Kluyveromyces lactis: one gene and its partners. The protein of the gene in region 3 purifies or fractionates together with the protein of the main gene of each other region. This does not show direct contact. Links are inferred from orthologs where the notes say so. Each region holds a gene or a part of one and is shown on either strand. Other genes may lie near its edges.

What was found.
Region 1: the proteins of PIM1 (region 3) and MAM33 purify together in Saccharomyces cerevisiae (affinity purification with mass spectrometry; 4 studies listed by BioGRID, with this or other methods). This does not show direct contact. The link is inferred for Kluyveromyces lactis from reciprocal best matches to the Saccharomyces cerevisiae genes PIM1 and MAM33.
Region 2: the proteins of PIM1 (region 3) and PET20 purify together in Saccharomyces cerevisiae (affinity purification with mass spectrometry; 5 studies listed by BioGRID). This does not show direct contact. The link is inferred for Kluyveromyces lactis from reciprocal best matches to the Saccharomyces cerevisiae genes PIM1 and PET20.

The regions. Positions count from the first base shown.
Region 1 is NC_006039.1:669,951-679,557, forward strand, and holds MAM33 (Mam33p), read right to left. Parts: upstream 4,976-9,607; coding exon 4,196-4,975; downstream 1-4,195. Other genes in the region: ICP55 (aminopeptidase), read left to right, coding at 1-299; PCI8 (Pci8p), read right to left, coding at 375-1,544; MRX1 (Mrx1p), read left to right, coding at 1,673-3,826; tyrosine protein phosphatase PTP3, read left to right, coding at 6,765-9,607. UniProt on the Saccharomyces cerevisiae protein: Not known. Binds to the sorting sequence of cytochrome b2.
Region 2 is NC_006040.1:514,970-525,365, forward strand, and holds PET20 (Pet20p), read left to right. Parts: upstream 1-5,112; coding exon 5,113-5,862; downstream 5,863-10,396. Other genes in the region: AIM44 (Aim44p), read left to right, coding at 1,069-2,847; MGL2 (putative carboxylic ester hydrolase), read right to left, coding at 3,066-4,388; KLLA0_D06083g (uncharacterized protein), read right to left, coding at 6,246-6,596; leucine--tRNA ligase CDC60, read right to left, coding at 7,511-10,396. UniProt on the Saccharomyces cerevisiae protein: Required for respiratory growth, stability of the mitochondrial genome and for proper assembly or maintenance of mitochondrial proteins.
Region 3 is NC_006041.1:911,548-923,686, forward strand, and holds PIM1 (ATP-dependent Lon protease PIM1), read right to left. Parts: upstream 7,340-12,139; coding exon 4,004-7,339; downstream 1-4,003. Other genes in the region: DDI1 (Ddi1p), read right to left, coding at 1-845; MAG1 (DNA-3-methyladenine glycosylase II), read left to right, coding at 1,036-1,866; COX15 (Cox15p), read right to left, coding at 2,064-3,548; HAP3 (Hap3p), read right to left, coding at 7,942-8,559; RFT1 (glycolipid translocation protein), read left to right, coding at 8,868-10,538; DNA-(apurinic or apyrimidinic site) lyase APN2, read left to right, coding at 10,810-12,139. UniProt on the Saccharomyces cerevisiae protein: ATP-dependent serine protease that mediates the selective degradation of misfolded, unassembled or oxidatively damaged polypeptides as well as certain short-lived regulatory proteins in the mitochondrial matrix.

The DNA of each region.
Region 1 (9,607 bases), on a different chromosome or scaffold from region 3:
TAGGTCATAATTTGGGTTTAGATGTGCACGACGTACCAGAAATATCCAGGCATCAACCTTTGCAAGAGGGTCAAGTGATCACTATCGAACCTGGTCTCTACATCCCTAATGATCCAAAATACCCCGAATATTTCAGGAATATTGGAATTCGTATCGAAGATGATATTGCCATTGGCCTGAATTCATACACTAACTTGACGGTTGAAGCAGCTAAAGAAGTAATTGACATCGAAAACATTGTTCAGCATGGTGTTTCTACCAAAATAGATCACGACATACCTCGTCCTCTTGATTTCTAACGGTTCGAAAATATTTAAAAGTTATGTAATTTCACTAGCATTTATCATGTAAATAGAACAAAACTACGTACTCTCTTAATCATTGAAAGTATCAGCAGTCTCATTACAGAGCTCGTTTTCGCTCAGAGCGAAAACTTCTTCTTCATTCATAGGTTCTTCGTCACTCGCCTTGCTTCGCCGCTGTATTCTGCTTTTCCTTAAAGCTAAATGTTCATCGACGATTACTCTCAAATTATGGTTTTGACGACGTAATTGGGAGAGCTTATTATCCAATGTGATATCTTCAGTCATCATCAAATCGTTTAGAGCCATCTGAGGGTCAAATTTCTGGTATAAAATGAGATCATCATGAATCTGGAAATTCAAACAGGCTTCCGAGATTAGTTGTGTGATTTCTTGAGTGACAATTTCTCGAGATATTCCGACTCTTTCGGATAGGTAACTAATTTGTATTTTAGTTGCTATCCTCAAATAAAATGCGTACATCTTTTGTCTCATAGTCTTAGATATTATATCCCACTTTTTTTCTAAGAAATAATCTTGCTTGCAAAGCCGCTCCATATCATTGTGCCACCAGTCGAAAAACTTCATGAACTTACTATTAATTATAAGTTTGCCCTTGCCAGCAAGAACATCAAAGTGTTTATGAAACTGTTCTAGTTCTTCTAAATGAATGAATGTGTCCAAATTATCTAGGGGAATTGACACTAATGCAGATACAGTGATGATGTAAAACATTGTTTCATTCGATATAAAGATATCATCTTTTGGAAGAGTTACCATTAGCTCCACCAAGTTTGGTATGTCGATGATTAGTTGAATGAACCTTTGTAAACACTGATGATATTCCCCCCTTAGGAACCAATTTAAAATCAATAATAACTTGCACTCGATGAAATCCGCTAATTCCGTTGGCTCAGAAGTAATGGGTTGGGTATTGAGCCTAGATTCAAAATCAATCACTGCTTTATAATGAGAATTTAGAATATGAGTTCTAATCAGGAGTTTGGTCCGTTTGAAAACACCCACTGAGCTCATAGAAACATCACTATTGATAAATATTATGGATTCAGCGTATTTATTATCAAGTAGCATAGATACTAGTTTTTGTTCCCAGGCAGGAAATCGCTTTGAAACAACACTCCAGGTTTTGAGCTCTCTACTTTCATTGTAATTTGGATATTTGGATCTGAAATGACGATCTTGAAGCACTGCCAACGGATAAAATAGCCTACCTTGTGTCATATATAATGCAATATTCTATCAAAAACAGCCCCAAAACATGTAAAAAATGCAATCGCAAACAATGCTAACTCTTTTTCAGAGGCTTTGATGTTATTCTAGTACTACTCACCTTGTTGGTCTTTTTAATTATGTCTCGTGTGATGCAGCTTACACTGTTTCTTGTTCTCGTTCAGATATGGCTGTTTTGCATATTATGTCAATTTTTCCAATATGATTCTGTAGTAGGAAAAATATTAATCACGGTCGAATCTTTGAGTACAACCTCATCGCAGACACCTCAAGAGCAGTTTAGACAGGATAGTCAGTCAGCAAGCATCAGAATCTGTATGTCGATAGGTCGAACAGTTATACATGTGCCATGTGCGCAGCGCTTTGTTAGGGCATTTCATGCTACGCGGGTACCTTACGGCTCACCGTTGAAGGTTAAGTTGGACCTTCTGCAGAAGACACAGACACTTGTGAAGCGAACAGAGAAGGAAAATGGAAAGCAGAGGGATATCGCTCGAAGGGAAGCACGCAAAGCTCGGAAGTACGGATATTCCATTAAGAAAGCGAATGAAATCTTAAAAGGGAGACACAAAATTACTAATCTTGATAAGTCTATCAAAGTAGGACCAACTTCGGACGATGATACGAGCATTCTTTCTGTCGCTAACGATAAAAGATTAATGTATACTATACTAGGTATATCTAGACCTCAACTAAAAAATTCAATATTGGTGGAACGCGATGTTGCGAAATTTTGTAAGAGAGGCCAGTTGCAAAAGGCTTTATTTCTTATAAAGCTTGCTGGACCAAATGGTGCAGCTGGAATGAACACATTAATGACACATTATCTAGAAGTTGAAAAAGATAGCCATTCCGCTGTGGATTTATATTCTTGGAGAAAGAAGTGGCAAATACCTCCCAATGAATACACTGAAACAAATTTGTTCAAAGGGTTGGCAAGGTTGCCAGAACCAATTTCTGTCAAAGTTGCAGAACGAGTGGTGAAGATAGTTTTAAAATTGGTTGAAGATGAAAGACTCAATAATATAAATTTTAACGCTGCATTAAGTGCGTTGGCGAACTCTAACGACCCTAGTTACCTGTTCAAATGTTTTGATTTGAGACCCAAAGGTATAAAAAAAGATGCAATTGCGTACACGCAACTACTTATTGGATGTGCGAAGATTACAGATGCAGTGGAAGCCATTCAAAGGGCTGATGATATAATGAACTCTGCTGACCCCAAAGTTATCGATTCACAAATGTTTTTTCATTATTTGAACGTTTGGCACTCTAGAAGGGATCTACGATTTTCCAATTGTGTGTTGCCTCTGCTTGATATATTCTATGATTTTAAGGTCCCAAATGTTCGTTTCAAGAAAGAAATACCAGAATTTGTCAAGTTGCCTGCTTTGAAGAATTGGAATATCAAATCTAAAATGCGTTTGACTCCCCATGTTGCACATCTTTTAATGGAAAATTGCTTTAAGACCGGACAATACGAATATGGTATCGCTTTCTTCGAGCATTACCTGGGAAAAAGACCAAACCTTTTCAACAACAGAACAATAAACGCTGCGTTGAACTTAATTATCAAAGCAGATCCGGAGAACTGTGGAGAGAGATGTTATGAGCTACTTCGTAAGATGATGGATGATGGTATGTTGCGGGAACCCTTACAGCACGTCGTTTTAACTTATAAAGCATTTGAAAGACAGGCTACTAAAAAGCTAAACAACAGTGATCCTGTAAAGGCGACAGAACTTGTAAAATCATGTCTTGCACTTATGAAGGACAATGAAGCAAAGACTTCGATTCAAAATGATGAGTACAAGAGCTATTTATCCTGGAAACCATGGATGTTCTTATTGAGAATTGTTATGTCATGCAAAGACGCGTTACCTTTGACTTTCAAGAAAACGATAATAGACGAGTTCATTACCACAATGCTCTGTGATCCAGTAATGTTGTTGAAGCAGAGAGGAAGCACTCGAGAGAGTATGCGTTTTGTTTATCTTGAAGCTGTACGTTTTATAAAATCATTGGAATCATCTTTGAATTTAACCGATGAAGAACTAAAGGAAGTGCAAGCTGAAGCGGAAGATTCAAATTCTTTACTTAAAAGAAAATTTTTGTTTCGTAGGCATCTAATAAGATTAAGAAAGAGAATCCTAGAGGTTGTGGATAACCTAGAACATGATAGGGATTCTAACAGCCCCGAAATCGAAAAATTGTTTAGACAATATTGTGAAACAATATTGGACACCAACATTGATGACTTTTCACCAACATAATTGAGATGCCTCCTGTACATACTAAACCAATGAAAAAGGCATCTCACTTGGAGGCTTGTCTTTTGCTGGCTCTGCATTTCAATAATTAAACTATTGCAAACGGTGTAATAATCAAAGGTACCAATGGAAAAGACGATAGGTACATTATAACAGATATTACATAGAGCGATATATAATGTACAAATTTGCCTTAAAAATCCATAATAAAAAAGGTAAGAGAAAAATTATGTATATACAAGAGAAATGTTGATAGAGGGATCATAAAGCTCAGTGATCAGTAGTGAAGTAAAACCACCAAGAGGCAGAATTGTTTTTGAATGAACAAATACTTCTGTCTTTAGTCATATTGAAAAAGAGTTATTGTTGCAATTACTCGAAGAACTTCTTCATTTTCGACAACCATTGAATGTATTCATTATTCTCCTTGAACTCAGAGTAATTAGAAATGAATGAAGTTAAATCGGTGGTGATACCTCTGGATTCCAAGTAAGATTCCAAGGACTCTTGCAAAGATTCATCCAAGTTAGAGAATGGAGGACCGTGGTATCCCAATTCTCTCTTGATTTCGGCTTCTGCTGATTCATTCAAAGCATCTTCTGCTGATTCGTATGGGGTAACGGAATCGACGTAGAAAGAACCTTCTTGCATGTTCATCAAAAGCTCAAATGAAATTGCTGTGTTGTCGGAGTTCTTCACAACGACAATGTTGACATTGGCAAAGTTATCAGACATACTATCGAAATCTTCCTCCAATTGTTCTTCAGATTGTTCTAAAGCAGCTGGTTCGACAGGCAAGTTAGCAACTTGAGCAACGTCAAAGAAGACATTGATAGTTTCATCGTTCAATTGTCTTCTAATGTGAGCCAAGTTACGGCCTTCTTGAACGACAGGCTCAAAACCGTACTTGGACAGGAAAGTAGCCAATTCTTCTGGCAAGTCGACAATTTGTTGAGAAGTTTCTAATTCGACTTCGCTGTTTAAAACTTGAGCAACCTTCGTAGTATGTTGGTTGAAAGTGGTAGCAGTATAGGAGAGTTGACGGGAAGATGTGATAAAGGTTGGACGAGCAATCACATTTCTGGCCACCTGGATGGAAGCTGGACGAGCAGCAACACGGGAGGCAACACGGGTAATCAAACGTAGGGACATAGTATTCTATCAGGGGAGGGGGCTTATCCTATAGGACTGGTTTGTTTTAACCCTTAAATTTGGATCAAATAAGCTAGCTCATCGCTTGAAATATCACAGTTCAATATAAGAGCTTATAATCTTTCCAGAATTCTTTTTCCTTTCAGCTCTCGATCCTAGAGTGTGGCAAAAAGAAAGTATATCAGGGTAATGAGGTGGATGCCCTTTTCATATTTACCCGCACGTTCAGCGTCACGTGAATGAGTAAAGTGTAAACAAGCCAATAAAAGAGGTAAAGACGCCATCCGGGTACAAATTGCTCGAACAGTTCTAAGGGCGGACCCTGGTACAGATACAGTGCGTTGACTTCTAGGCGTACGTAATTTTCGCTTTTCGTTTTGTGAGTAGTGGTAGCCTTTAGTTTCCGAGTTATTTCACTACGTTAATTTCTTCGTTTCAGCTTGCAGAAAGATGTTCGAGACCCGAGTCCATTTCTATTGAAAATTCTTTTCTTTTGTGAGGGAAGCGAACTTTCGAACCGTTTTGGTCACTGCTTTCCGTGCTAACATTCTGGATCAAAAGTACGAAATTTTTCGAGCCTTAGTCCCATGGTAACTCTCGCATTACTATTTGACAAATGAACGTTTACTGATCAGAGTGTGTTTAGGGCAGAGAGGTAATGTCCGTTTCGACCGTAGTCTCGAACCGGAACAATGATCAACGCCTTGGTTTTCCCGAGAAAATTCGTGTTCGTTTTTGCAAGAGCACGGAGGACAACATTCATTGTCAGTTCTAAGAAAGAAAAAAAAGCCAGTTGCAAATAATTGTAACGACGTAATTTACTGCGCAAAAGAGCCCCATCTATGATTATGCTCATGATTGAAATTTATTCCCAGGATTTTGCTGTGGTGTGTTATGCAGCCATCTGCAATTCTTCTATTAAACTACTTTTCACAAGTTGAAGAGTACAAGTCCAAGAACATACTCTCAGACTAGTACCCAGGGGATCTAGATCTTTTGACTATTAGCATATTTTTCGGTCCTTATTATACCGTTCTTTCGGCTCTACTGTTGATTTCTAGATTTGTGTCTTTTTTTTTGTTCATACATTTCACAAAGCAACAGAGTGTCGTAATTAACCATAGAAACTGCTTCTTCATCCGTGATATCCTTGTAACATGTCTTGACAATTTGCGGTTCTTATTCAACAAGAGATGAGTATTGCTTGGTAAAATTGCAATCGGCATGAGGGTGTAAATAGTTTAGAAGATTTATCGCATATTTTTCTGAGTCCTTTGTTTTCAGTACCTTTCTGCCTACATAAGGTGTCTTTTCAGGTAATTTCCTACAGATGAAAAGTAATCTAATTAAGTAGCAAGGTGTCTGGTTCAACCAACGAAGTGGGCATTACTATATCACATATGCATTTATGTAATTCGACCGTATATCACGTGGATGTGCGTGCTAATTGTTGTTGTTGTTGTTTTTTTTTCCATTGGATATGTTTCTCGAATGCATGCATCTGTGTATCCTTATGCAATCCTCTTCTCAATATCTTTTTTAGAATTTCTTTTCTTTTCGGTCAAGTGTTTTCTAATTCGTAATTTCTAGGTCTAGTGCATTATTGAACCAAATAGAACAGCTTCCAACATCTTCAGCTATCTTTTAACTTTGTTCGAATCACTGCTTTAACGAAGACACCAAATAAGAACCTATACCAAGACAAAACTGTCAAATTAAGCATACAGAAAGAAAGTACTTTGTTAGTAATAGGGTGTCAAATCTAATCTATTTATAATTTCGAAGAGAAATGGAGTATATAGACACGATGGGCACCAACAAACAACAGGAAGAAATCCAACTCAAAGAACCTCTTTCGTTTTCAAGGCCTCTCGCTAGACCACCATCGATATCTGGATGTACAGAGTATAAAGATCGTGATTCAATTCAGAGCAGCTCATTCACATCGGAAAGTTCATCAGTTCTAAGTTCGTCATCCACTTTGATCGATGATAAATCGTCGAATTCATCGTTAGCATCTCCTGCCCTGAGCGCAAATTACAAAAGAAATTCAACGGAGGTACTGCCCGAAAAGATTCTGATACATGCGTCGACTTTCCCTTCAGCATCTGAACCTTCGTATAGTACATGTACACCTTCACCGTTGTCAGCATCTCATAGAAGTTCCCTTTCGTTTTCACGGAGTAGATCGCGGAGCATAGCAATGAAGTCCAATAGCTTGCCCGCTATTCCAACAATATGTCCAAAAGATCTCCGATTTCCTAAACATAAAGACTGCTCGTTTATTAGCCCTGCGGACTTGCACCATTATATTGAAAATATGGACCAGAATCCCAATGAAAAACTGATAATATTCGATACAAGGCCGTTCATAGAGTTCAACAAAAATCACATCAGATCGGCAATGCACTTGTGTCTTCCCTCGACTTTACTGAAAAGGAAAAACTTCAATCTGGAAAGGTTGATAGGTAATCTACCTTCCCCAGGAAGGGAAACTTTATCGGAATATTTATTGGGCAGTGACAGCGCCACTGCAAATGCCAAGGTGGTTATTTACGATAATGTGGCAAACCAGACAGATTATGCAGTATCATTGGCATGTTTCGGAATATCTTCTAAGATCCTCGATCATGTAAGTGACAAACAAAAGCCTTCTGTTTTCATTCTCGCAGAAGGTTTTGAATCATTTAATGCAGCATATCCTGATGACGTCGAAGTTGGTACCATGGATTTGGAAGACTCTTATACCTTAGATTCCCCATCTTCCCCTCATCAGGCAGACAATATTTCTCCAGTTCAACCGCAGTTGAAACACTCTGGTAGATCTCATTCGCATTCTTGTTCTCCTTTGAAACAGCCACCACAAACCGGTAACAGTAGGACTCTATCTGGTTCCCCAATATCCACATCATCACCATTATCATCTTTGTTTGGATTTAAACTGCCGGCACCGATAAATAATCAACATTTACCAACTTTTAAGTTACCGCAGATTGAGCATGACATTTCCGATCTAGATAATTATGTGAAGGCCGTAGAGATCAATGAACGCTCTCAAAGAAATTCTTTCTTAGAATCAGAAAATGACCTAAGATCCTTCAAATTTCCTGCTTCACCGTCCAAACAGTTCAGTACCGATGCGACTTCGTCATCATTTACTTCAACTCAAACAGCATTATCGCCAGCAGATCCTTCTAGTGGCCACAATTCATCTAAACTAAATTTCCAAGTTAAATATGATAACCTATACCACAGATTTGCTTCAGAGGAGATCAATCAGGTAGTTCCTTCCTGGTTCTGCCAATTAATGGACATTCCAAAACTGCACTTTATATCTAAGTTCCAAAGATTGGAGTTATTAGAAAGAAAAAGACTTCAGAGATTATTGGGCCCCTCATCGTCCGCTTCAATTGTCAGCACTCAATCTCGGTCTACTGTAGCTGGTAACGACAGATGTGTCGAAGATGGTCATTATGATGTTGATGAGGATGATGCTGAAGAGAACTTACAAAGCATCACAATATCATCTGGGGTAGAATTTGGGACGAAGAATAGATATAAGGATATATTTCCTTATGAGCACACAAGAGTAAAGCTCTCGCATTCTAGTATATGCAGTGCTGGCTGTGAGAATTCAACCCCTTCCCCGAGATCTTCCGCATATAGTTCCTGTGCTAGTGGCTTGCCAACTCAAGATGAACAAGAGGATGTTTGGAATACCTATATTAATGCTAACTATTTGGTTAATCCTTTTGCCCAACTTCAGCAAAGCTCTACCGCTGACATCAAGTCTGTACGTTATATTGCCACCCAAGCTCCTTTGAAAGAGACAATTTCGGACTTCTACACCTGCATTCTGAACAACAATGTGCCCATAATTCTAACGCTAACTGATGAGTTTGAAAATGGAGTTGAGAAGTGTTGCAACTTTTGGGCAAACGGTAACTATGATGGTATAAACGTCAAACTTCTGGATGAATTTAGTACTATGTTACAAGATAAACCAATGAAGGCAGAATCTAACCATGAGGAAGATATGTTTGCATCTAAGTTTTGGAGACATCTTAAATTAAACAAAACTTCAGACAATAACAATGAGATCATCATTCGAAGAATTGAACTGAGCTATAATAATGATAGAAGTAAGTTCCAACTATTGCAATTACAGATAAAAGACTGGCCAGACTTAGGGACATTGCTCAAACCAAACGAAATTCTGCAAATAATCAATTTGAAGAATTTTGTCATTGATAGTCTGTTCGCACATAACGTGTACTCTCCTAATTACACACCGACTGTGCTCGTTCATTGTTCTGCTGGATGTGGTCGAACAGGTACTTTGTGCACTGTTGATTCCATATTATCAAACCTAAAGAAGTTTGATACCGATGAGAATCCTTCTTTGTATGGCGCCTTCGCCGTACCGTTAACTCCTAATCTTTCTCCAACTACAAAATCTAATTCTTTTTCTGCTACGAAACCACCAACAAGTCTCATGTTTGATCCAATCGTGACAACCGTAAACCAGTTCAGAAGACAGCGTATTTCTATGGTTCAAAATATCAACCAATTTCTCTTCATTTATGATTGTCTATTATTCTATTTTACATTGAATTTGGAGACTTCACCAAC
Region 2 (10,396 bases), on a different chromosome or scaffold from region 3:
TGCTGAAAACTTTGACATAGAACGAATACTCTTCAACAAAAAAGGATATAGGGGTACTTCATCTCCCACCGTTCCAAAAAGAGTACAGTAGACTCTGTTCTGAAGTTATACCTGTAGATAAACCGTTGAATGTAACTGTTTACCAGAATATGGTAAAGTCAGTTAGTTCTTCGGTTGTCAGCTTGATTTAATATCATAGCGAATTTCAAGTTTTCGAGTTCCTTCGTCATTAACCAGAAAATATAATGGATTTGGCACTAAAGTAATTACATAAAATGGTAGTGAAATACATCAAGACAAAATACTGATAAAAGAAAGCAGGTTATCATTGTTCTGCTATTATTCTGAAACAGTCTTAACTTAGTTTTGAGATGACGATACATTATGTGACACCAAATATATATTGGTACAAAATGCAACAAATATCTGGTATTCTAAAAGTATATATATAAACTCAGTTCATGATGATAATCTAGGCACTCTGATGTTAAGAGAATTATAGATGGGCAGGCTGTCACTTGGGCTGAATGAATAATTTCCTTTCAAGATATCCTTATGAGTAAGATGTTGTGAAACAGGTCACGTGTGTATTCCATCGTGGTGTACGGATGAGATTTCTGCCCAGCATCTAATTTCCCTTTTCATTACGAACCCAGCATGAAATTTAGCATGTCTTTGCAGATAAGGGCAAGCTGATACAAGGTCAGCAATATTTGCTATTCCAGTAGAGTGTCGTATGCGGCCTCTAGTAAATATGGCTGGCCCTGCAACTAATCATTGATACTGAATCAGGTCAGCTTGTTCCTTAAATTGTTGTCTGGTATCATCCTTTCAGTATCTATATATATATATATATATATATATTTGAAGGAATGAATGAAGAACTTGAATAAGCTGAATGGGGAAAGCGATTCCACGATTGTATGAGTCTTTTTTGTCATCATGAGCCACTTGCGTAACCTTTCCTGGTGCAAGCTTCGTAAAATATCTTAAAAGCGTTACTCAAAATTACGTGCAATACTGTTATCATCGAATACTCTAGCTGGTAAATACTGAATTACCGAATAAATGATCAGAACTCCCACAAGAACCAAAACCAAGTCCTATAATGGATCTCAATCAGAATTTAGGTTCCCAGATGTTGAAGTTTTGGCTCATCTTAAATTGCCAGAACATGGTTTAAACAACCATCATCTACTAAACGAGCAATTGAATAAGAAGCCAGAAGACGATATTCACTCCCAGCATTTATCTGACTATACCACGACAAATTCCAACTCCGGTAACTCATCTAATGGATACTACTCATTTGCTAACATATCTGATAATACGACTAATCCTGACAAGTTGTCTGCTGTCAAGAACACAGCTTGTGCAATTGGAAACAACAGGTACTCATATATATCATCTTCCGGTTCTTCAGTGCATTATCCTGGAACACTGGCACCGGACAGAACACCTAGAATATGTCCCACAAACTCACCTGAATTTGGCAGGCCATTGGATGGTAACTTTGATATGCAATGCATACCAGAAGCATATTCTACGGTTACCTCTGATTTCACTTTGCCGACTGCCGACAATATTTCTTTCCAGTTCACACTGTCATCTGGTAACTCCACTGCAATGCTAAAGAAGCGTAGTACGCCGTCTACGAAAACGCGAAACGCCACGAACTTAAGTGAGAAACGGAAATCATCAGTCAAAAGATCAACTTCGACTGTGTCAAGAAGGTCGAATATAAAAAGATCAAATGCGATAAGATGCAAAGGTGGACTCTTACACTATTTCACTAAGCTCGGTAAACGTGTAAGATTAAACCTTAAGAAGTTCCACCTGGCTCTAAAACGCAAACTCTTTACGTACAAACAACGTCATTTCGCAAAGTCTGATAAGAGGACAACATCACATTTACTTCGTTCAAACGGGTATTTCGCAAATATTAAGAGGTCACAATCGATGAGATCAATGGCTTCTTACTCTGATACATCCTCTCCAACCGTTCCATCTGGATTGGATATAAAGAATACCCCGATTGTCAAGCATTCCTCCAACATCAACCATCGTTCATTGAGGAGAACTCCATCCTCTATTAAGCGTGCAGCATCGATCCTTACGAGCAGTAATTCACTTATTTTTTCTAGAAGTAATTCTTCCGTCGGAAGAACTGATTCAACCCGTTTAGTTAGGTCTCAACCTTCTCTAAATTTAAACTTAGCGGTAAGACAACCTTCCATCGTTGTTAAAAATAAGGTGATACCACTTTCTCAATTCGATCATGACGATTATTGTATTAGAGAAGAAGACGAAGACGAAGAAGACGAAGATGAATATATTATCGATACACAAAAGATGCAACCACTAAAGTCAGAGATGGGATCTATTACATCATCCTTACATGATGGTGATTCTGTCTTCGAAGACGCTATGAGTTCGTCTGCCTCAATGGAATCATTGAGTGAATCTGTCAAAATTCTGAATGCAAATAAGGCTTGGGATTCTTACCTTCGTGCAGTTATCTCACAAAGAATTTTGATGAGATTGCAAGTCGCGAAGTTCCAAGCTTCACAAGATCACCATACTTACAAAGAATTGCTTGACGCCATTGTCACAGACTATGAAAGCGATGCTATCTTTTCGAATAACGACGCACAAACAGAAAATGACTCCATGTCAGAATGTGACTCCCCTCATGAGTTCGACACTCTAACTGATTCCTCGAGAAGTACACCAGCAGTTGTTCCACAGAGTTTACGCGAAAGCTTTTCGTCATTAGCTAATTTCCAAACCTCTGTGAAAGCCGGTGTTCGGAGAAATCTAACATTACCTGTAGGTATCAGCATCTGATATCTCATTTCAATACATTAGCATTAGGAGAGAGCCCATTTATTATTGACATATTTTTCCTGGACATAACTCCCTTCTTCCACCTCCCCTCATTAGCATTACAACATCATTGATTCCTATATATTCATATTAAGATAACCACGTTTGTTGTTCATATTTATCGCATTTCTAGTTCTCAACAGATAGAGTCAGATATAGACAGGGTTGTTTAATTAACTTTATCTGATGATTCTATCATTTTTGAATTTATTCTCTTTAGGCAGGTCAACAGATTTAAGATCGGGTGCGAGACCTTGCATTGAAATGTCTGTATAAAATTTATGAAGCAATCTGCACAACGGTTTCACGTACCACCTGTCCAAGTTCATGTCAAACCATCCAATGTGACCTCCCCTTGTAGTTGTTAACATTAAGGTGTACGGATTACTTTGGACTTCACGATATGGTAGCGCTTCACATCCAACAATAGGATCATCTAAGGCATTCAGAATCAGTAATGGAGTTCTCAACTTGTTTAATCTGTTCGAACTCGTACCGTGCCTGTAATATTCAAAAGACGTATTGAATCCAAACATTCTAGCCGTAAAAAAGTTATCGAATTCTTCCACTGTTTTCACTTCATGTAGGTGGTCGGCGTACATACGCGCCATTTCAGGATTTTGCTTCAAAACATCAAGATGAGATGTCGTTAGTTTAACTAAATTTTTCGCTAACGCTGGAGTGTAGGCGTATTTCCCTATCAAGTTTCTTTCCAAATGATAAGATGATGCCGTTAAATCCCATGGATTTCCCAACACAACACCTAATTCTACGTCTGATTGATCGGATTCTTGTCCCAGATAATTGGCCGTCATACTTGCCCCTAAAGAGACCCCACATAAAAAGAATTTTCTATTAGGAAACTTGTTCCTCAATTCCTTCACGCAAAACCTTACATCATCAGTCCATAGCCCACAATACAAAAATGGTGTCGTAATGCTTGATTGGCAGCACCCACGGCTATTTAAGACGCAGGCTTCAAAATTGTACTCGTTCGTGATGGTGTCAACTAAAGATCTGACATAACTTTCGTTAGAACCACCTGTCAACCCATGTAATATAATGAGCATCGGCTTTGTATCAGACGATCCGAACTTTTCATCAGCATCAAAATAGGTATACCTCGGAAGCAGTTGATTTCTCTGATTTTTGGGAACGTAACCAGTCTCTTTCCATAACGATTGGGGAACACACACATCTAGTGCACCTTCACCGCCGTCTGGATAATTGAGAATATATCTCTTATAATAAACCAAATGTTTCGATTCGAAAGTGAACATCGAAGCAAAAATCGTCTGCATATGACCACTGCAAAGAAAAGGTGGAATCACACACTTGCTATTATGTTGGAACTCCGGTGCATATTTGTCAATTAATGATTTAATGCTGACACTTTTTGCAGTTTTGCCTGGTTCGCTGTTAAATTGTAACAGCTCATCAGGTAAGAACTGCTGTACAGTTTGAACCCACGGTAATAACGAATATAATTCTCCCAATACCATTAGTAGCTGAAAAGCTCTCTAACACTCAAACACTGTTATTGATCCTCTTTTCTAATGTACCTTCTTTCTATTACATTAATCCATGAATAACTACCATAATGTTAAAGACCGATAGCATTAAGGTTTACTTTTCTTTCTTCAAAAACCCATTATAAGATAAAATACGTAAGGTCAGATGAAGACAATTCTAGATAGAAAAAAAAAAAACACACAATTGACATGCGAGCAATCGTTGGTAAAAGAAATCGCTACACGTTGGAATCAGATGCTCTATGGGTAATTAAGCGTTGCCACGGCTACAAACATATAGCCTAAAGTCACTTGTTTATTAGTATTTTGGACAAAAATTATGTAATATAATCGTTACCTATGACACACATCTACAGGTTCCGGAAACTGAAAAGAAATTTGAAAATAAAGATACCTGATTTTCACTTTTAATAATCAACCCATTTAACGAGAGGTTTATCCTCACGAGAATACAACAGCGATATACAACAAATAACGTGCTGATAGCAGAACATTAACATCTACGTCAAGGTTGCTATTAGTTTTACTAGATCGATCACCACTGTCAAAGGGTTAGAGACTTTTGAAGCGAGCTGTTTTTTTAGGTGTTGCTACGAGTTGTTTATTGGAAAATCTGGAATCTGTTTACTCCTTGTTGGTTTTCCCTCAGTGAAAGATAGAAGGATACTTCTATATCGAGGCACATATAATTACAATGATGTTCAGCAATGTACGTCTCGGTTCACGCTCTATATACGTGAAAAATCGCATATCTGCGGTATCACTTATAAATGGTGTAAGGAACCAGAGTTCTGTCAACTTCCAAAATAATCAGATGTTACAAAAGCAGAACTTGAAGCAATCGAAGCTCAAGAGTAAACGATCAAAACGTAAGGAGGACGGCGATCTTGTGGATTCGATGAAGCTTGAAGGTAAGCAAGAAAGTTCGGCATCTGCCTCTTCTTCTCCTTCTGCGGAATTAGGTAAGGATTCAGAGGAGAAGATCATAAAAATGGCCACGAAGAAGTTATCTAGAGATTATTCATGGTTACCAAGAGTACCAACCACCGAACATATATTAAGAGAAGAGTTCAACTCGGATATGTTATATTCTGGTTATAGACCCATCGTTGTTGGGGATAAGAACGCAAAGGAGAACAAATTGATGCAGTTTGCCATGAAATTAGAAAAGCTTAGTGAACCTGTACCCTGGGTATCAAGTGCCACGGGACAAGAATTTTTCAGCGAATGGGATAATGTACCATCAGAGATTATCAAAGATTTGAAACCGTTCCATCCACCAAGTATTGAAGAAACAAACAATGCAAAAAATAAAGAAGCCAAGGAAAAGTTACAAAAGCAAATATTACTGAATGAACAAGACAAATTAATAAATCGTAAGCGAGGAAGAAAGAAGCCCATAATCAGGTTATTGGATCTGAAACGCAAATTCGAGAAAGAATGAGAATTGAAATCTTTGGAATGCCAAGTTGATTCTTGACATTTTCTCGAGATTCTTTTTATTTGGGCTAACGATAAACAATTATTAGAATCTCTCTCTCTCCCTCTTTTCGTTAAAATCATTCCAGGGACTCACCATACCCCTGAAGGACTACTTTCTAAGTTAACACTATAATATTTCCAATTTTTCTTCCCTGTATTTCACGATTCATATATAGTATATATATCTAATGCATACGATTTAACAAACACAAATAATTTCGCCTTTTACTTCTGGAAACTAAAATATGTATGGAATCTTTTACAGGAGTCAAAAAATTATGACATCTTTCAGCAATGAAACGATCCGACCAGCATTTCCACTTTGTATGTTCCCTTTCCCAATTCTTAAACGTCATTAATCTTTGAAGATTTCTTTGAGTTTTTAGCTTCGCTACAACTGTTGCCGCTATAGCTATGGTGTATTATCTTTTCAACAGTTTCGAAGGACGGGAGTGCTTCATAATTCTCCAATTTCGTTCTAAAATCGAATTGTGCACTAAGCATATCGTTCCTGGTTTCCAATGTTGAACCGTTCAACGTCTCTATTGTATCACATAGTTCCATACATGTATCGAGATCAAAATCCTGCTGCCGACTATACACTATGAACTGTTCTGCATCGTTAAAATATTCTGCAAACACTTTATCGCAATCCTCTTTTACAAGTTGTAGTGATACAGAATCGTGCCAGCCCATTGAGAGATCAAGCTTTCCCTACCACTTGCTGCCTCAATGACAAGATAATCGAACCAAATCCTCTATTCTACAGAAACCTGGATAAAAATATGTGGTGGCCCGGTATTTTCGAAACTGCATCAGATACACACACATATATATATATATATATATATGACATATGCATCAGGTAGTTCCCATGCGTCGACCTATAACTTCCTTCAAAATAGCGGAGTTGCCAACAGAAACGTATATATGCCACTACTGTGAAAGTCCATAGAAATCGACTGACTCAAAAGAAAACATCTCTGAAGTTTTGTCGCATTTCTCCCACGCCAAAAATTACATCATATTGGAAAACTGAACAGCAAACACAGCATAAACGATTCGTACAAATTCCCAGCTTCTCGTTTCGTTCCAGAGGCTTTTCCAGAGATTTGTCACCTTGTCTTATCTTCAGCGAATAATATTCGAAACAACTGACGGAATTGGGGCTCTAATACAACACACAAAAGCCCTTAGTTTATCCGAGACACCGCGAAGACCGGGACTCGAGCGACGAAAACCTGTGCTCTATTTGGCTCTCTCTCCAATGGAAAACTGAAAACGAATTAATTCCGGGGTATTTCAGCGCGGGTAACAAGGTTTTTTTCTTCTCTTACATGGTATATCTGTTCAAAACTCCGAGAAAAGACACAGATGAAGAAGCATTTAACTCCGATTTTGGCGTGGGTTGGAATTTCTAACTGAGTAAGCAATTAAATTTGGTTGAAAACAGAATATACAAAACGGTTACAGAGAAAATTCACATTACAGGTTGTTTGACATCGGTACCGTTTCTATCTTTCTATATAACAGATGCCTATGGGGTCATCTTCTAAATGTTGTTTGTGTGATTAATTATTTTGTTATTGTTAATTTATTTTTATCTATCTCTATTCGACGTTCTTGATCAAGATAGCTGGTTCACCTGGAATAGCGTTTTCAATGGCTTTGCTCTTTTGAATCGTAACTTCTTCATTAGTAAATACGTTCTTGGCGGTTTCTGAGCCGTATGGTAACGAGAGAATTTCGTATTCGGAAATCTTGATTGATTGAGAAGACTTCTTCAAAATATCGAATGTAGACTTTACAGTTTCGATTTCGTTGAATAGTAAGTCTCTTGTGAAGACAGATTCTGGTGATTCAGTGGTTAATCTTTGTTTTAGTAAGGAGATGAATGGCATAGCACGCTTCATGTCCTTTGGATCGACCTTAGTCTTGACAACCTTGTTGTCGTCCAAAGTTTGGTTTTCGAATAATTCACGCACCAAATCGATGTACTTAGTTTGCCATTCTGGGAAAGTCTCAATAATGTACAAGGTCAACTTAGCTGGCTTTGAAGCATCAACGTCAGAACCCTTACCCTTCTTCTTTTTCAAAGCTTGGCCCTCTGCTTCTCTGATAGATCTTTGTAGATCTCTAACGTATTCTAGAGATACAGAGATACCGATGTCGACAGGTTTGTTGACAGTTGGGAACTTAGCGTTCTGTACGGAACCTTCTTTCTTTAAGACTTCACGGTAAATGTAGTCAGCGAAATGTGGTGCTACTGGTGCTAGCAACAATACTTGTGTTTCAATGTAACGTAGCACTAGATCACGGTGCATGACATCAGATGCCTCACGATAGTAATCTCTAGCAGCTTGATAATCGAACAAACCGTACTTCATAGCACTTTTATAATTGGTGGCAGCGTATTGCTTGTAAGTTTGTTCGATCAATGAATTCATTTCATTTTCGAACGCGATGTCAAAGAATCCATACTCTGAGTCGGTACGCAAATTCCCAATGTCCTTGACCATTTCTTCGGCCCATTCTTTCAAGTTATAGAGTCTTAGAATAGCAGCATTAGCATTAGATTCATCCAAGTTGGCATCTTCAACAGTGTCACCTGCATCAGCAAGAGCAATACGGGAAGCATCGGCACCGAATTTCGTCACCATGTCGTGCAAAGTCATGAAGTTACCTGTAGACTTGGACATCTTAGCATTGTTCAACATCAAATGACCGTTGACTCTGATACCCTTTGGCCAGAACTTTCTTGGGAACAATGCAACGTGAGTGTAGATAAAGAAGGTCAAGTGGTTTGGAATCAAATCCTTACCAGAAATGGAAACATCCAATGGGTAGAAGTATTCGAACTCTCTTCTCAATTTTTGCAAAGATTCTAATGGGATATCAGTGTTTTTCACTTCATCGACGTGTTGGAAGACATAGTCAAACACTTCATCTGTCATTTGTTCTGCTTTGATTCCCAATGGACCAATTTCGTTACCGTAGTAATCTTTGAATAATAAATGCGCAATGGTATAGAAGGATTGGTAGATAGTAGAGTCAGACAAAGATTCAACCAAATACTTTGGATCCCATGGTAATCTGGTACCTAGACCGTAACTACGAGAAACAGCCCAGTTTCTCAACCAATCTAAGACACTTTCGAAGGCATTCTTAACTTCAGGAGCAAAGAGTTCCATACCTTCCAAACATTCAATAGCTTGTTTCTTCCATTCTTCTTCACCGTAGTCGACATACCATTGATCTTCCAGAGAAACGATACATTCGTCACCAGAACGAGAAATGACAACAGATTCTGGTTCGTTATAGACAAAGGCTTCGTTGTTGGCAATCATATCGCTCTTAACCTTGGCCTTGGCAGTTTCGACCTTTTCACCCTTGTACTTACCATAGATCATAACACCAGAATAGAAATCTTCTTTGTATGCTAATTTCTTGGCTTCTGCTAACTGGTTGGTATCTTTTGGAGACTTTATTTTTAGCTCCTCGCACAAAGACTTGGCGGTTAAATCACCGTATCTATCGGTGTGAATAACAGGAACCAATTCATGGTTGATCCATTCAGGGTCGATACCATAATATTCTGGTTTATGTTTCAGATCTTGTGTAGTCATGTAATCATCTGGAGAGTTGGTTGGAACACAAGTAACAACACCGGTACCCTTGGTGGCAATGACAGTGTCCATCGGTAAGATTCTTAATTCTGGGTATGGTGTCAATGGAGCATGAATCTTAGAACCGACGAAATGTTTACCCAAAACGGATACTACAGGTTTGTAGTTACCTCTCTCTGGTGTAAGCTTTTGATAAGACATGTTCTTAAAGGCACGCTCAGTGGTGATGTAATAACAATCGCCAGCGTCGAAAATACCGTAGTTAATGGTTGGAGAGACGAAACAACAAGTTTGACCGTACATGGTTTCTGGCCTCAAGGTAGCAGCAACGAAGTAAATCTTCTTGGAATGGTCCAAAGTGGATTCAGCAACAATCTTCTTAGCCTCCTCAGCAAATTCAGTTACTTCGATCTTGATACCTAGATATTCTTGCGGAGTAACTGCTTCACCGGATTGTCTATCGTGATCCATACATGGTTGGCCATCCTTTTCCGAATAGATGGTGTAACGTTCACCGAACTTGATTTTTCCAAGATCTTTTAGTTTCTTCATTTGCCATTTAATAAATTGATCGTAATATGGATTCAGGTCGGTAGTGATGAAAGATCTTCTCCAATCAATACGGGCACCGAACGATGTACAATCGGTTTCAGTTAGAGGTGGGAAGTAAGTTAACCAATAGCTGGCATCGGCAAATTTGATGACATCTTCTCTGGCAATTCCTAACTGCAACATGATTTCGAATTGATATTTACCACGACCTTGCTTAGCAGCGGCCTTTGACTTCTTAGCCTTGAACTTGGTAACATCGTCGGATTGTGCAGCTGGTTTGGCTTCTTGTTCTTCTTCCGCATCTTCAGCTGGAACATT
Region 3 (12,139 bases):
ATTGGAGTGTCAAGTACGGTAAAACTACAAGGCAAGAACACGTCGTGGATTTTGATTTGAGTCGTATGGATTCTCCCGAGAATTTTGCCCGTACCAACACCCTGAGCTATACCACTGAACCTTTTATCAATTAGAGAGGTCAACCCTGTTCTTTCTGCCAATTTTGTTGACATTATAGTCTGTTGAGCACCAGAATCAACGAACGCTTTGACTGGGTGGCCATTGATTTCTAATTTTATATACAACATTGACACTTGGGTAAAAGACTCCGGAGTATATTCCATCGCATATCGTAATTGCTCATCAATCTCATGTTGGTTGGTCAACTCCGAAATCCGTGCTTGATTCACAGGATCATCAGGGTTGCTCATTAATCTTGAGTATTCAGAATTTGGGATACCGAATGGGTTATTTGATCTTTCACCACGTCTGGAAAGTAACACCGGACCTAGTAGTTGATGAAATTGGGTTTTATTATTTATCATATGTTCTAAGTTTGGAAGACCCATCTCTTGAGCCATACTTGGATTCTCTAATAGGAAAGTCCTGAACTGTTCAATGTACTGTTCATCCGTCAAATCGATCTCCTGAGGTTGACCGAAAGCTGCCTGGGAACTAGCGGGATTCTTAGGTTTTATCAAAAGCATATCATGGTTTTGTAAGCCAGCCTCTTTCAAAGTTATATTCGTGTTCTTAGTGTCAAGTTGCTTCATGTTGTGAAATATGATCTGAGATTCCTCTTTAAAGTCTATCAATGCGAAAAGGTCGATAAGCGACATATCTTCACTCAATTCAAAAGGTCCAAGGACATCATCAGAGTGCTCATAAGTGACGGTGATGTTCATCTCTGATACGGTTGCCTAGTAATGGTAACTTTCAGTTTTAGTGTTTATTTTCCATTGAATAAAGTGATAATTGATAATTAAAGTTGATCTTGATTAATAAAGGAATCTTATATGTCAGAGAACCTTAAAACAACTTCTCGAAAGTAAAGAAAGAAAGAACGGACAAAAGTGTCGCCAAGGCTATATTGAAATGAAAAGGACAAGGGATGATATCCTCAAGGTGGATGTGGACCAAGAATATCTGGATCAGCACATTGATTCATTCCGTGATGGAATAGAACATATCTTAACTATTGACCCCACATTAAAAGAAATCATTGAGCATAGTCCTTTCACCATGTTTCTCAAGGAAAATGTGGCCAAGGATTCGATGGACCTTTATTTTAATAAATTGGCAGGTAGCATCATTTCACAGCAGATCAGTGGTGCAGCTGCGAAGAATATTCGAGGCAGGATCGTAGATATGTTTGATGGAACTTTTCCTAATTATCAGACACTGCACGAAACATTCCAAGACTCGAAGAAGAAACAAGCTTTTAAGGAATGTGGGTTATCTCAAAGGAAGCTGATGTATATTGAGTCCTTGGTTGGATATTTTTTCAATAACGAGGATTCTATAAAAGATCTCTTTGCCTTTGCAGACGATGATAAAATCATCGAAGAGCTAGTCGCAAATATCAAGGGTATCGGACCGTGGTCAGCGAAGATGTTTTTAGTTACAGGTTTACATCGCTTAAATGTATTTGCAGCTGAAGATTTGGGAATCGCAAGGGGATGTTCAAGGTACTTGGAACAACGACCAGAGATCTTAAAGAAGCTTCACAGCAAGCGGACTCTTATCAAGAAATCAAAAATAAAGCACAAGAGTTTCAAGTGGAAAATCCACGATGAAGACGTGGTTGAGCTCTGTGGTGATTTATTTAGCCCCCATAGAACGTTATTTATGTTCGTTCTTTGGAGAATGTCGGATACTAACATGGAAGTTGTCATCAATAATGAGAAAAGGTTTATGTCGAAGTAATAATTAGAGGCATTGTAATTGCTGTGTATAAACAGTACACTTTAAAGTAAGGTAGGAGTTCACTGGTAGCAACTTTTGAGTATATATATTTACAAGATAACATTTAATGTGCTGCCCAGTGTTTATAATAAATAGGAAGTAAAGGGGACAAACAAGAAAATAATTGAAAAAAAAGGATCCATTCGTAGTTCCCAAGATCACTTCGCAAGTTTGGAAGCCTCAGTTAAGATTTTAGAAGAGGCCTTTTGCTGTTGTGTATAGAGTCCACCGGTGAGGATTCTAATTGCGGCTCTTGGTTTTCTCAATTGAGAAGCAAACAACAATGAACCTGTCAATAATGCCAAGGCACCAGCTTGGTGAGCAGAAGCTAGAGGGATTGGAACCAAATATAACAAGGTAAAAATACCTAGAGTGACTTGTAAAGTGGCAAGACCCATCATACCATGAGCAGTACGTAGAACTTGTTTAGGAATGATAGCCTTGTTTCTGTTACAGTACATGTGGAATGCAAACACAGCGAAGAAAGTGGTTGTAGCCAAAATCCTATGATTCAGTTGAACCGTAGTTGGGTTTTCCAACATATTTCTCCAAAACATATCACTCTTGTCTTCTTTTCTAGCAAAGTTTTCGTCGATTAATTCACGTTTACTTGGTACCCAATCATCACCCATGTGAGGGAAAGTATTGTAGATTAGACCAGCATCCAGACCAGCAACCAAACCCCCAGACATCGCAGTAACAAAGGTCAAAGCTAGTAGACCAAGTGCAGATCTTCTCAATGGAGCTAGTGCTGGGTTATCTAGTTTTGAGAATAAAACAAGAGCTTCGGATGGGTTTTTAACCCATTTGGCCTCTCTCAAGATCTCAAACCCGGTCCAGAGCATACCCATATATAACATGAAAGCGGTACCCAAATGTGTAGTCAATCTGTACTGTGAGACAGTCGGTTTGGACTTTCTTTCCTTCAATTGTGTTTCATCCAAACCAGACTTGACCATCCACCAACCGATAAAACCTTGTAAACCTAGTAGTGCTGATAAACCAAACAATCTTTTATTAACATGAGGTGATGTCTTCCTAGCGACAGCAAAGTAGACAGCAGGCAGAATGAATACAGCACCGATAGCACGGCCCCATAGTCTATGAATCCATTCCATAAAGAAAATGAACTTGAATTCATCCAAGGTAATATGAGAGTTCAACTGTTTAAATTCTGGAGAACTTTTATACTTGGTGAATTCATTTTCCCATTCCTGCTGGTTCAAGGGTGGTAAAGTACCAGCGACAGGTCTCCATTCTGTAATAGATAACCCAGATTCAGTAAGTCTGGTTAACCCCCCGAGAACGACAATACCAAACACAAGAATTGAAGTACCAACTAACCAGTACCCTACCACTTTTGATGAATTTAGCAAGGGTTTTGACTTAGCTTGTTTAGCCGTGGATGCCGTAGCTGTTGTTATACCATTACCAGTAGTTTGCGATACCTGTACAGCTTCCCTGACAATAGATCTGGTATGGAAATACGCCATTGAAACTGTTGGCAAAGCTCTCTTAAGAGCAACAGTGGGAATCACATTCTTTGTCTTTACCAAATTTGATATTGAACGGGTCATTAAACCACGGGAACTTATGCGAATACCGCTGAGGCCTCTGCCTCCAAGAACCAAAGTTCTGAACATAGTGATAACTAGGTTGTCAGCTTCAAAAGATCGAATCTGGCCTCTGTGGTTCAATACTTACTTCTGTTAATGTTACTAGTGAAAGGCTTCATCGTTCCATTTTTTTTTTTTTTTATATTGAGCCTGATCATTCCATAACGTGAAGGGAACTATATAAAAGCGTCAGCAGAAAGAAGCCCGATAAAACGTACTATTGAATAACGAGTTGACATGTCGTTATATTTGGCCAGTTTGTCGATGTTGTTAATATCTATAAATTCTCTATACTTATTTGAAGGCCGCATGGGGAATTCGTGTACGTTTTGTCTGTATATCCAAATAATCGTTGTTTAAGTAGAATGGTAGTACCTGGGGTTCATTCGGCGGTGGATTCGTATCAAATTCGTCTGTGTTTAGTTTACAGTAGTGTATATATTTACATGGGACTAAATAAGATAAATGACATTGGGTTTGATTTATTTAGTTTCCTTGTTGCGTTTTTCATCAATCTTCTTGAAGTCTTCTGACCAAACGGTGTTACCCTTGTTAGTGTCTACGTCTCCGAATAGTCTTTGGAAAACATCTTCGTACCAGTCTGCGGCCAAAGGTTCCAATCCTTCCTTCACATTCTCTGGAAGCTCAGCCCAGTCTGACAAATTGTCTTTGGGGAAAATGATAGTCTTGGCACCAGATCTCTTGGCTGCTACGGCCTTTTCTCTTAACCCACCGATCCTCAAAACTTTACCAGTCAAAGTCAATTCACCGGTCATAGCCACTGTTGGGTCAAGACCCTTATTCAAAGCCAGTGATAAGAATGAAGAGGCCATTGTCACACCTGCAGATGGACCATCCTTTGGTGTAGCACCTTCAGGGCAATGCAAATGGATCTTTGCAACTTCAAAGAATCTATTTTCTGGGAACTTCTTGGCCAAGTACATCTTTGAGAAAGAGTATGCTAGTCTAGAGGATTCCTTCATTACATCTCCAAGTTGGCCGGTACGTTCTAAAGTAGGTTGAGTTGAATGTGTCAAAGGCTGTTCTAAAACACTCTCTACGTACATTGCACATCCACCCATGCTAGTCCATGCAAGACCCATCACAACACCAGGAGGAGTAGATTCGTATAATCTATCAGTAGTGAAGATTGGTGGACCTACGTAATCCTTTAGGTTGTTTTCGTCTACAGTCACAGAAACAGTTTCCGGTACTTCTAAGGAACCCTTGTTATCGTGAGATTTTTGGGTCTTGATCAGTTCATTTTCTTCAGTAGTGGATTCTACGGTCGATGCTTCAGCACTAGATTTGTTTTCGGATTGCTTGACCTTTATATCCTTTTGATCCTTCACTTCTTCATTTTCCATAGGTTTATCGTCTATGCTCAATTGTTTAACGACGTTCAACGCAGCCTTACGGTAGATTTTCTCAATGTGCTTTTTCAATGATCTAACACCACTTTCTCTGCAGTAATGCTTCATCAAAGAAACAATAGCATTCTCGGTAATGTTGACGTTAGCATTATCTAAACCAGCAGATTTCTTTGCACTTGGCGATAGATAATTTTCTGCGATCTTAACCTTTTCTTCAGCAACATAACCAGTTAGTTCAATGACTTCCATACGGTCCAACAATGGTCTTGGGATAGTTTCTAAAGAATTAGCGGTGCAAACGAATAAAACTTTAGACAAATCGATTGGAATATCCATATAGTTGTCCAAGAAACTATTGTTTTGTTCTGGGTCTAATAATTCTAATAGCGCTGCGGCGGGGTCCCCATGGATACCGCCGTGCCCAATCTTATCAATTTCGTCAATCAAAATCAACGGGTTTTGAGTTTGACATTTCTTTAAAGCTTGGATGACTCTACCTGGCAAAGCACCAATATAGGTTCTTCTGTGACCTTTGATTTCAGCCACATCAGTCATACCACCTACTGAGAATCTGAAAAATTGTCTGTTCAAAGAGCGAGCAATGGACTTACCAATGGATGTCTTACCCACACCAGGTGGTCCAACAAAACAGATGATCTTACCATCAACCTTCCCGAGAAGCTTACCAACGGCGATGAACTCAAGAATACGATCTTTGACGTCCTTCATACCATAGTGATCTTCATCTAAGATTTTTTTCGCCTTTGGTATACTGTACTGTTCTTTAGATATAATACCCCAAGGTAGGGAAGTGATCCAATCCAAGTAGTTTCTAATCACACCAAATTCAGATTGTGAAGTTTCGAGAGTCGCTAATTTAGTGATTTCGTCATCAAATACTTTTTGAACTGTTTCCGGTAATTGTAGCTTAGATACACGATCTTTGAAAGATTCAATTAATTTATCACGACCATCATCTATACCCAACTCTCTCTTGATTCCTTTCAATTGTTCCATTAGATAATACTCTCTCTGCCTCTTTTGAATCTTAGTTTCAACGTCTTTAGAGATTTTATTTTGTAGTTCAGCATTCATCAACTCTTTCTTTAACACTGTCAATGCCTTTTCAAGACGTTGCTCAATGTCCAAGGATTCAAGGATTTCTTGTAATTCCTCTTCTTCGCCAGCAGAAACGGCAGCGGCAAAATCAGCCAATCTTGCTGGCTCTTCGAAAATATTTGTGGTGGCAGATTGAATTGATGCTGAAAAAGTTGCAATCTGTTCTCTGAACATGGTATTCAATTGAGAAATCTCTTTAAACACTTTCAAAATTTCAGAGGTCAACGCATTGATGACGGGGGAATTCGGATTAAATTCTTTGTCAGCCAAATTGGATACATTGACCAATGAAACATCATAATCTTTCAAGAACCCGGTCAAATTCTCATCGTCATCTTCTTCAACATCCTTCATATTTTCCATCTTTTGTAAAGAGGCCTTAACTACCTCTTGTTCATTATTTTCGACACCTTCGCTCTTGGATACATCTGATTCATCCTTCAGGTTTTGTTCAGAAGTTGGTGGGATCAATTCATCCAATTTGATTCTTCTGTGTGGGTATAATAGAGCGGTCATCGTTTCAGCACCAGTCTTTTCGTCTTTACTTGGGAATGCGCTTGTAACTTGGGCGAAGACACCGACATTGTAAACTTCATCAGCTTTATGAATCACATCGGTATCAACAGTAGAATCCTTCAACAAAAATGCACCAATGTATGGTTGTTGACGATCTGACATATCTTTAATCGCTTTCATGACTCTTTCATCTGAAATTACAACTGCTTTGTAAAAACCAGGGAATAATGGACGGCGAGATATTGGTAATGCCATCACTTGGGGATAAACTTCGGGGAACGGTTGTTTAGCGTTCTTGGAAGGTTTTCCATTACCACTTCCATTGTTACCATCATCACCGCTTCCATTACCTGATGATTCTCCGTTACCCGATGCTCCTCCAGAAGTGCTAGCTGGGCCCTGAGTCTCTGCAACAGAATCCCGTTGCTGAGATGTTTCCGATTCCTTTGCAGTATCGTTGTCCTTTTCTTCAGTAGGGACTTGTTCCTCTTCTTTCTTCCTGTTTTCAGATTCTGGCTGATCTATATCCTTGCCCTTATCATCCTGCTTCAACTGTATGCTTTTTACCCATTGGGATTCCAACTGTTCAAGTCTCTGTCTTGAAACAGGGTCGTTCATCTGTTTCCGATATTGCATCCAGTGATAAGACTCATCCACAAACTTCTGAGAATCCGAAGCTAACTTTTCGTTACCAACTATGCCATTATGCTGGAACCTCGTTGCATTCATCAACCTGACGTTGTTACCATTCTTGAATTGACGCAAAAGGATGTTCCTGGTCACAAGGCGGGATCTACTACTTCTTAACATTGTGATCTCCTTTGCACTTGAAATAAACTGAGGGAAAAAAAGCTAGTCACCCGGTATCAGAAGCTGTTCGACTAGGTGTGTAGTAAACTGTATCTCAATTTTGTGACTATCCGTTAGAAGCTGCTCTATTGAAACTAAAAGTCACAGTTAAAAAACACCTTCGAAACCAAATAAATAATCACTTCCGTATCTGATTTCAGTTGATCAAAAATCCTGGGTATTAGATCAAAACTAGATTGGAATATACCTCCTAATGTATCTATTGTGCTACTACTATGAAAGGCCTTTTTCCCTCTTAAAATGTTACCGGAATCCAAGTGTTCCTTAGTTGTATAAATTGGTATTTATCTTACAAATATTATAAATACCGGTGGCGCAAATATCACCGGAAAATGACATTTTAGCACTAATACGGAAAATATAATCTGTCAAGACGGACCTATCGTACCACTTGCTTGCCAATTGGCATTAAATTGTACGTTAAGATCCCTCCTTGGTATGTGATTGAGCCGTGGTCGTTAAATATTTAAGTACATCCATACATATCTATATATATATATATATATATAGATGCGTTTTGTTATAGTGAGAAAGAGGTAATGTTACAAGTGATCCGCAGTAGAATGGCGCGATCCCAGTGGCTGTTGGACGACAATCCGTGGTTGAGCTTGTGCTGGATTATGAGTGCTTTTTGAAGACGACTGTACATGTTCTGATGCCGATACCTCTGTGCTTGTCGTCGTGGAAGCTGAAGAAGGCACAGGATGAAGAGGTTGCTGCCTTTCCTGTGTCACGTGATCTGCGTCTTCTGCCCTTGATTCTTCTTCTGTGTATGAACCTTCCACATCCTCCTTAGGGTACATCATCTGATTCTTTATTGCCTGTTGTTGTCTGTATTTTGCTAGGTAAATCTTGAGCACTTCGGCATAGTTCTCGAATCCCAATGCATGTAGCGATAGAAGAATATCTTCACCGTTAATAGTCTTACGCTTCCCACTGGTACATCTATCACAGGCCTCGCTAGTGACAAACGATATGAATTCGCTTACGCACTCTTGCATACATTCCTTCGCATCTTTAGATACCTTTGTGGTCGCTGGCAACGTGTTTTTCATTAGTCTTGCGACGTTGTTAATCGGAAGCCATCGATCTTGCTCCGCTAGTTCGTTAAGATAGTTATTATGCCTCTCTTGCTTCTCAGCTTCTGTCTCTGTATCCATATTTAGTAGGTGTCGCTAGCTCTGATCTTCATAACAGACCAAATCAGTGAAAGACCTTAAACACTTAGTATTTTTATTATGTAGTTAATAGTCATGAATGGGTATTTTAAGGTTTGTTGATGATTTTGAATTTGCTGAACGTCAAAGATCGAGATTTTTCAATGTATACATTGGCAAAGAAAGACACTAATAAGATCCAATAAACGGCCAGTGCTCATCGATAGGATTGGTTTATACTGCTGTAGGTGCTAGTGCTCAGCATTGTTCTTTAAGAAGGGTGCAAAGTTACTTCATATCATTTGGTAAGAATGAATGTCAAGAATGAGCATATGAACAAATTCGCCAATGGAGTCTTATTTCTAATGTTGGGACAAACGTTGAGTAAAGGGGTTAATTTCTTGTTGAACACTTTGCTAGTGCGTTATTTATCCCCCCGAATTTTTGGTATTACCTCTTTCCTAGAGTTTTTACTTTCTACAGTACTATTCTTCAGTAGAGAATCGATTCGGATCTCCACCTTACGGATCAAATCTACAACAGATAGCGGCAAATTGGAAAAAGTAGAGGATGGTGAGGATACGAGAACTTTGCAATCCCTGATTAATTTTGGTTATATACCGTTTGTGATTGGGTTACCATTGTCTATTATCCTAATTTCATGGCAATACTCTAATCTAAATTCGTACTTCATTGACCTTCCATACTTCAAAGCCTCCATATTCCTTATATGGCTTAGTATATTGATTGAGTTGGTCAGTGAACCGTTCTACTTGGTACATCAATATTTACTCAATCACTTTATCAGATCCAAATATGAGAGTTTAGGTGTCACCTTTGCATGTGTTGCGAACTTTATTATAGTTGTCTGGTTTGAGAAAATGGTGAACGGAGTTGGGCTAGAGTTGCATGATGATTACAAACAAGAAGGGATCGCTATTTTTGCATTTGCAGTTGGTAAGCTCGTTCACGCGATGACTTTACTTGCATGTTACTCCTACAATTATTACTCAGAGGTCTATACTACTGGAGAGCGTTATAGCTACAAGTTGACAAAAATCAGGCCTGAAACAAGACAAGAGTCATACTATTTCCAAAATGATACCGTTCAGCACTTCAAAAAAGTGTATTTCCAGCTATGCTTCAAGCATTTGTTAACAGAAGGTGATAAGCTAATCATAAATTCGTTGTGCACGGTGGAAGAGCAAGGTATATACTCTCTTCTTTCAAATTACGGCTCTTTGATAACAAGACTATTGTTTGCTCCGATTGAGGAGGCATTACGCTTGTTTTTAGCGCGCTTGTTAAGCGTATCGTCGAAGAAGAACTTATGGTTATCTATGAAGGTCTTGATTGACCTAACCAAGTTTTATCTGTACTTATCACTCTTCATTATAATATTCGGACCAATCAATTCGTCATACTTATTGAAATTTGTCATTGGATCTAAGTGGTCAAGTACCTCATTTTTAGAAACAATAAGAACTTACTGCTTCTATATTCCATTCCTTTCCTTGAATGGTATCTTCGAGGCGTTTTTCCAAAGTGTTGCCTCCGGTGATCAGATTTTCAAACATTCATACGTCATGATGCTCTTCTCAGGCATTTTCTTGTTCAACTGTTGGTTATTCATAGAATATTTTGACCTATCACTAGAAGGGCTCATTGTCAGTAACATTTTGAACATGGCTTTGAGAATAGCATACTGTGGTAACTTTATTCATAAATTTTACCATTACCTACTAAAAGAATCGTCAACTGAAACTACTCAATCAATCTTGCCAAACATTTCCACCTTCAAGAACGTTGCTCTCATCGCAGCCATAATCGGTGCCCTAGATTGGTATTTCATAGGCTATGTGGAAAATATGCGGGAACTACTTATTAACGTCATTTTGGCATTATTGTTACTTATTTTGGTGATTTACAAAGAAAAGAGCTTAATATCAGAACTGCTAGCTGCAAAAACCTATGCGGCATAATTAGTAACTAGTTAGTTTCCTTTTTAACGACATATCTCAAATTCAGTTAGTTCATGATTTATATACAGGTCTCATTTTTACATATAATCTTCATCTTACGGTCGATGTGCATTATTTGTAAGATGCTTGCTATTAAGATCCAATAATTCAATTAGATAACAAGAACTGCAGCACAGATGCTTAATAGAAAAAGAGAGTGAGCCATATCTATATACGTGCAACTGCTCTATATAGAAGATTACCAGAGAGTTATGTGCCTGAACCATTGATTATGGATGAAGTGAAAGATAAAACTGGAGTACGGTTCGTAACTTTCAATGTGAATGGAGTAAGAACTCTTTTCCAACATTATCCTTTTAGTAGGATGAACAATTCATTGAAACTAGCATTCGAGTTGTTTCAAGCAGATATAGTGACACTACAGGAATTGAAGATAGATGCTAAAAGTATATCTAAATGGGGTAAAGTGGAAGGTTACCAATCATATATTACTATATCTCAAAAGAGGAAAGGGTACAGTGGGGTTGGATGCTGGATTCGTACACCATCAGAAGATGATCCATTAAGACATCACTTAAAGGTCATTAAGGCAGAGGAAGGAATTACGGGGCTTCTCCGAGTGCAAGCTAATGGCATATCCTATCGTGAGAGTTCAGAAGGGATTGGTGGATATACTGGTTTGGATTTTGCTGATGAAAACGACCTTCTTGATATTGACAGCGAGGGAAGATGTATCATCATCGAATTGGCTTGTAATGTTGTTATCTTTTCAACATACTGCCCTGCTAACTCGTCACAAACCGAAGAAGGAGAATTGTCTCGGCTGACGTTTTTAAAGCTACTCTTCAAGCGGATAAGAAATTTGCACGGGTTAGGGAAGCATGTCGTGCTAATGGGGGACATAAATGTTTGCAGAGATTTGAAAGATCATGCTACGGCACTAGATGAATCATCTATTTCTTTATCTCAACAGAAGACGGGCTCTGAAATTGAAGAAAAGTTTAATGAGAAATGCGTTCAGTTCATCATGGACCCATCTCGCATTGGAAGAAGGTTGCTTAATACAATGCTATGCGATTCCATAATTTCAAAATATGCACAAGAGGGTATTTTAGTAGATTCTACGCGAAAGATACAGGGTAGGGACAGACTAAAAATGTATACAGTCTGGAATACGTTGTTAAATACTCGGCCGGTCAATTACGGTTCTCGTGTTGATTATATCTTTGTCAGCAAAGGATTAAAGGATAATATTACGGACGGTGATATTTTGACCACTATTATGGGATCAGATCACTGTCCAGTTTTTGCTGATATCAAGGTAGATAACCTCGAACTTAAACATGAAAGCTTCAATAAGCCAAAATTTGAGGCTGCCACGAGATATTTCTTGAACCATGGGAACATTTTAGATATGTTCCGCAAGGCCAATCGCAAAAGCACCAGTCCTTCCACGACAAGCACGGGCAAAGTAGTAAAACCACTGAATGTCAAGCAATATAACGGCATGAATGCTCTGGCCTCAGCAACAGTTTCCAAAGATCAAAACAAAAATGTATCGATACAGCCTCAGTCGCGCGTCAAGAGTGCACATATGAAGG